Kluyveromyces lactis: one gene and its partner. The protein of the gene in region 1 interacts with the protein of each later gene in a pairwise test. Links are inferred from orthologs where the notes say so. Each region holds a gene or a part of one and is shown on either strand. Other genes may lie near its edges.

Region 1 (3,540 bases):
AAGGTTGCAACTTAACTCAGCCCTAATACTCAACTCATACTCAGTTGTCCGTCGGACTTTTTCATGGTAACTGATAGTCTCATGAGCCACTCGTCATGCGCAGCTTCTGCCTATTCCAATTTCACTAAATATTGTCACGTGACCCTCTTTGATCCATCTAGGCCTTCCCTTCTGGATACCACAGGATCCATATGCCCAGTCACTGACGTCTTGGAACTCTGCCGTGTGCTGGCTAGCTCACATGACCCTTCGTCTGGCCTGTCTTCAGTCTATCTTACGAAAACTACAACAAAGTAGCATCGGTGGTTTAGTGGTAAAATCCAACGTTGCCATCGTTGGGCCCCGGGTTCGATTCCCGGCCGATGCATTCTTTTTTCATGTGTCAAAAACATGTATGTTGTTTTCCTCTTCTTCCCGGCGAGTGTTGTGAGCTAAGAGTAATTTCTCATATAATATAGTGATTGTCATTATTTAATGATATGTATATAAGGCTTAAACTTTAAGCAAATATTCAAACTTATATACACTCTTCGTTGGATATTATCCGTTAGTATTTTTTTAATTTCATGAACCTTAAAATCAACTTCCTTGGCTATTCACTGCAAGTTCCATAATCAGCCTGGTTGCTAAATGTAGAAAGGGGTATGCACTGAACGTACTCATTTCATCGTCGTTCCGACTTGAATACACTACACCGTTACTGGACTCCCAGCCATCAAATTTGAAATCCACTAAGTAGTTATTTGTCTCAATTTGGAACAATTGGATTACCATCTTCATTAAATCTGGAATCTGCTTGTTCTTCATTTCGTCATCAGGCATATCGATATTATATCTCCAACGGACTCTAATAGTCCATAGGTCCTCTTCTGATGGTTTCGCCCATTCGGCTCCCAAGTTTTTCAATGCAATGTATATTTCTCCCATAACGTCTAATGGATAGGATCTTGATCGTATACCGAAATGCCACCTTGTTTTTGATTTTTTCACGCTTAATGGTGAAATCTTAGCAGCAGCCTGGGACCCTTGTGCTACCATGTTGGCTCTATGGATCTGTGGTAACGAGCTAGGTAAAATTGCAATCGTGCTGTCTCCATCCTGAGAACCATTTCCATAATGATATTGATATGTACGTTGCTGTGTTCTCTTTGAATGGCGGTGTGAGTGTCGATTTTTTGAGCCCGGGGGGGCATGCAAGGATTGTTCGAAAGTGGGTGGAGATTGCGATAAGAAAGTATCCAAGTCATTAGATTGTTGCTTGTTCACCTTGATGTCGTTGATTAAATTTCTGTTCTCTTTAATTAACTGATAGGCATCCCTGATTTCATTTAAAGATGGATGATCTTCATCGGACTCTAAAGCCTCATATATCTCATCTACGTCATAACCCATAGTGTTTGATAGCGTTTGAACTAACGAATCATCGATCAGTTCGAGTGGCACGGATGGGCCGCCATCTTCTGTTTTGCTTTCAGAGTTTTCTTGATGGGTGCTTTCAGCAGGAACTAGGTAGTCGGGTAAATCAACTTTGAACCATTCATCCTGCATGATTTCATGCACGGTAATTCTATTAACTGGATTGACGATGAGCATCTTTTTGATTAAGCTCGCAGCACCTTGGGAAAGGAAGTTAGGTATGGTGTAAACACCATTGCTAATGTTCTTAAACAACACTGGGATACTTTCGTCATCGAATGGTAACCTACGACACAACATGACGTATAAGATAACCCCTGAAGACCAAACGTCAACCTCTGGACCTGCATATAGTTTACCGCTGATGACTTCTGGGGCCGCATAATTTGGAGAACCACATGAAGTCTTCAAAAAGTTACCATCTGTCATTATATTAGATAAACCAAAATCAGCAATCTTAACGTTCAAATGTTCGTCTAATAGTAAATTCTCTGGTTTCAAATCTCTATGCACAATTTTATGACGGTGACAATAATCTACTGCGCTAATAATCTGTTGGAAAAATCTTCTTGCTTCTTGTTCAGGCATCTTGTCTCTTTGGACAATATAATCAAATAATTCATTACCAGCATACTCAATCACCATGATAATTTCGTCCTTCGATTTGATCACGTCATACAATTTGATAATGTGTGGATGTCTCAACAAACGTAAGTACGAAATCTCTCTCTCGATTCTACCTTGCATATCACTCTTGGCTAGAACCTTCTTATTGATGATTTTTAATGCCACTTTTTGTCCCGTAGAGATATGGTACGCCAGTTTCACTTTACCAAATGATCCTTCACCCAAGGTCTTGATGATTTGATACTTACCGATATGTTGGCCTTGTGCGTGGTTAGTCAGCTGGCGTTGGTGATGGCCTTGACCTGAGCCACCATGCGGCTGTTGTTGATTTGGGTCGTGCGACATATCTTCTCTGATGAGTATGTACTCGTAAATGCTTCACTAAGAGTTTGCGTTCAACAGAGGGATATCTTGTTTACTCTGAGAATAGTTGCTTCTAATTGAGAAGTTGACTAACTTGTTAGAAAACTTGCAATTCTTATACTAGTGTGACGTTTCTGGAGTCTCACAAAACCCAATTCTATCCGCCCTACAATTACGCATTGATCCTTCTTTTATTGTTGATGTTCCGTATATGACAAGTTTTCAATTTTATCATCAAAATGTAAACGGCGTAGAAATCGTTGATGATGACTGATACCTTATGTAGGAGACCGTACTGGGACGAGTCCGGCGAATTGACCATTTTCAGTCACCAATCCTGTCACGTTTTACGAGAGGATTCAGACAATTCACGAATCCATTCTTCACTACGTCAATATGCTATGACACTACATTAAAGTACATCACCACTCGATAAGTGGCTATTATATACGAACCAAGATGTATATATTACATCTTTAATCTTCCCCAATTACTCTTTTATAATTAGGAATAACGTTAATATCGTATTTTCCTCATTATAAACTGGTGATTCCAAAATTCTGCTATCTATGTATTAGTTTCAATCACTACTGTCACTGGAGTAAATATCGATGACTGCGGCAGGATCGTAGAATGATTGTTGGCTAAAATTTGAATGCTCCATATCGTCCTCGTCATCCGTCCAAGAGTCCGTTGCAATATGTTCAGTCACAGGCATCTTTGAGCCCAAATTGAAACACATCAAGCGATTCCTTACTATCATTGTGCTTTTTAAATTGGAACTAGCAAGAGAAAATCTATCATCTAAAACACGCTTACTGATTGAGAAGCTCCTTTCGACGTCAGCAGTTGAGAGCTTAGTGTGGTAAAAGGCAAGAGCCAGACTGCACAATGCAGGAAATCTTGATTGGTTTTCAAGCCAATAGCTCAAAAAATCCTTCTCTTTCTCCAATGGTTCCCCCAAGTATATCTGCCACTCATCCTTAGGCGCAAAATGGAATTCTGAAATGTTTCTATCCAGATATGCAGATAGGTTTTTTAATAATTTTGGCTTCTTAACACGATTGATATTCAATGGTTCAGTTGGTTTATTGTGCGAGCGAATATCGGAAGTTTCAGTAAATCGTTTGCAGT
Region 2 (3,564 bases), on another chromosome or scaffold:
GCTGCGGTTTTGTACTTTCTTGGTGTACTTAGGTGGTTCATTTTGTTCTTCCTCTGAACCTTCTAAATCTTCTAAATTCAATACGTTAATCGTTTCCTTTGTATTACGGGGTTTTGTTCCGGCGGGTTGCTCAAACAACGTGGAGTAATCATCATCATTGGTATATTCCTCTACTAGTGGTACCTGTTTGTTTCTTTTCAACTTGAACTTTAACGGTTTGGCCAGCTGCTCCTCGGTCTCTTCGTCAGAGATTGATGTTGCAGCTTTGTTGATCGAGGTTCCTATCAGATCTACGTCTTCATCGCTCTCTAAATCAGGCAACTTGATCTTTACCATGATGAGACAGCAGTATTGGGTGGAACGGAAATAATCTCTATATACCTCTCTGTCTTGTTATGTATTGTTCTGTCTCTTTTTCTATTCCCTTTGTTATGCTTTTCACCTTGTATTTTAATGGTATATATGAATATTAACTGATAAAACATTATAAGTATATTTAATGGGAGAAGTAAAGAATAGTGTCTAGTGAACAGAATAAATATAGTAATAATTATCATGAAAGGACTGAAGAGGAGATGACACTTAGTAGTAATCAGTAATAAATAGTTATGGATATTGCGGATGTTGATTCTTCTGTCTGAATTTTTCTGTTTGATTTGAGTAGCTACTCCTTGATTATGATGTGGTCGATCTTATTGTTGAAAAGTGAAAAATCAGTTCGATCTCCGGCTTTATGGATGCTGGACGCTCTTGCAGATGGATGGTGACCCATGCTTCGCCTCTTGGGCAATATTATCAATTCGTTGTAGTCACTTTCGTTATCTTCTTCGTAGCCTTCGTCATCAATTATGTTATCATTGGCATCGTCATATATCTTGAATAAATTAGTTGTGTCGTTAACGGTATCAGGTACCATCCCCATTGGTTTGAAATTCGAAATGGTTGGTGAAATATCTGACATGCCGATGGAGAGTTGGTAGTGAGAGATTAACCTTGAGAAAATGTCGTTATCATCCATCCAAATGGTGACCCATCGTTTCAACAACTTCTTGTATTTGTACCAGTTGAACGTTTCCTTTGGTTCATTCAATAAGTTCAACAAACAGTTCTCTATCAATTGTTTATTGTTCAAAGGCATAAACTGAACAGTCTTCAAGATTCTCGAATTTATTGGTTTCACGTTTGAATTATCGGATAGGATTAACCAATAAAGTGATATGATTTCATAAGATAGTTCCACGGAATTCGGTTGTTGTAAATATCGGCATACGAGGTATACCAAAGTGATACCGATTTCAAGTAAGTCGTTGTTTTCCAATTGAATTTGTTTGAAATCATGGTCTTGTAAATGGTGATAAAGTTTCCATTGGTAAATTAATTTGTAACCGAAGGATTCTATCAACAGCTGATATTTATTGTTAGTCTCATTAGCTAATAATTGAAGGTGACAACCATCCAATTGCAATATGAAATCATAAATGAGTTGGAACATCTTCAAATGAGGTGGGAACTCTGAAATGGTTGGTGGATGGAATTCATCGATTAAGAAATTAGTCTTAGGTAATCCGTTGATGAAACACCACCAGATCTGGAACACTTGGAATTGATAAAACGTGAGAAGCCTAATAACCTTTGACGTTGAGTTTTCATGTCCAACAAGATTGTTGTAATTCAAGAACAAAGCTGAATTGATGATCATATACTGGTTGAAATTAATCAAATCGTTAGTCCAAATGACAGAGTATGGGTTCTCCTGGGACATGAAATACCGTATTCCGAAATTCATCAGTTGAATCGATGATAATTTGTCCTGCGACAAGGAACCCAAAAGTTTAACCGCCTGGAAAATCGTCTCGTTATTGAAACAATTCAACTCGAACTGTACTATAAGTATTAGTACAATGGACACCGCAGGGTCAGAGACAGTCGAAGTCCCGGTTAGTACCGAGATCATTCGTTGGTGCCATGACGTCCCCAAGAGATATGGGAAGATTTGGTTCGAGTTCAAGTACTTATCAATTAATCGTATTACATCCTCAGCAGATAAGGGGATATTAATCGGTACACCGCTCGGTGAAAGTGGGAAATGTCGGTTAAGGTACGATAGAACCGGGTCCTGTACGATAGACCTTGTATACTGGAAAGACTTCAACTGAGATTTATTATGGTTGACGATCGAATTCCAGGTGAAATTACCTAGATACACTTGGTCATGGATATAGTTTGGGAATTTATGGAAAGTATCATTGATAAAGGGTAGGAACGTGGACGCAGGGGCCTGGGCCGGTACTGGCGCTGCCGATGCCGCTGGAGGAACCGAAACAGAAGACTTTGTTCCCATTTCCCCCACAGAGTTAAGGAATTCCTGGCCAGCAGGAATAACACCCGTCTGTGCAGTAGCTGCCACGGCAGCTACTGCACCATCAATCACGGTCTCACCGTTCTCGTCCACCATCCCACAAAGCCGCTGCAACTTAATCACCTCGTTCTCCAACATCTCCGTGTAACCCCTAGGGAACCCGCGTCTTGTAAGCTTATCACTAGTCGAACAATGGTACCCTATCTTCTTACAATTGGAACAACTAGGCTTGATACCGTCACATTTAATCTTCTTAAGCCTACATCTATCACATGCCTGTGAAAACCGTTTCACTTTTGTTGATGCCGTAGGCATCAACAATTTCTTCTCATTGTGTTTGTCGACTTTCCCATATTTACGCTTCTTACCTGACTGACTGCTACTGTCATCACTGCTATTACCAGTAGACATCTTACCAGCAAGCACGCCCTTTACATCATCCTGCGAAACACTTGGCATAGTGATATATACATATACTTGGCGCTACTACAGGAAGCTTATAGCAAGCTTACGTTCCAAACAGAAAAAAAAACATCTGATACCTACCATAAACCTTCCGGTTCATGGTTATATGGCAGAACGTTTCCCCAGGTCCGTTTGTCTTATATATCTGATTCAGAATCATGAATAATAATAATAATATTTGGCTATAAAAACCCTCGAGAAATCTAATTCAAGAAACTAAGGCAAGAAGAAACTACCTTTTAACAAGCCAAGAGAATAAACCAATGAGATAACCGAGATAGCTGGGACGTTTGAAGAATTTCCCTTAATTGATGGATCCCAGAAACTGACATTTGTGACATTTCCACAAGTGACGTTGGACATATTATTCAGTATTCGGTATGCTATAGACTATATAAGAGGGCTAATTAATATGCGTTAGTAGTGTGTAATTCCAGTTTTGCAATTGTCCCTTTCAGCCGGATCTGGGGAAAGGAAGTTTTGGGGACAAAAAAAGCGGTTCTAGGCGCGGTTTTCCGTGTAGTCAGCAAAAAAATTTGTGCAGTTATATCGGTTTATCGTAGGGAGAGTAAGGACCTGAAAGGATTTGTCCGGATGAAAGGCTAACGGGGAGAAGTCACAAGTCCGAATGGTGTATGGGTGGCGATGTTTGCCTGCTTCTTGCAATTTCACATGTGACAGATATATGAGTCAGCTGGACGGTTGCTGACAAGGATGATGACTCGACGGGGGGGGCGCCG

Evidence for each region. The genes of interacting proteins can lie anywhere in the genome.
Region 2: the proteins of SNF1 (region 1) and SIP4 interact in a two-hybrid assay, tested with the Saccharomyces cerevisiae proteins (3 studies listed by BioGRID). The link is inferred for Kluyveromyces lactis from reciprocal best matches to the Saccharomyces cerevisiae genes SNF1 and SIP4.

Annotation. Positions count from the first base shown.
Region 1 is NC_006037.1:338,228-341,767, forward strand, and holds SNF1 (AMP-activated serine/threonine-protein kinase catalytic subunit SNF1), read right to left. Parts: upstream 2,389-3,540; coding exon 580-2,388; downstream 1-579. UniProt on the Saccharomyces cerevisiae protein: Serine/threonine protein kinase essential for release from glucose repression.
Region 2 is NC_006042.1:1,328,179-1,331,742, reverse strand, and holds SIP4 (Sip4p), read right to left. Parts: upstream 2,819-3,564; coding exon 665-2,818; downstream 1-664. Other genes in the region: NTR2 (Ntr2p), read right to left, coding at 1-336.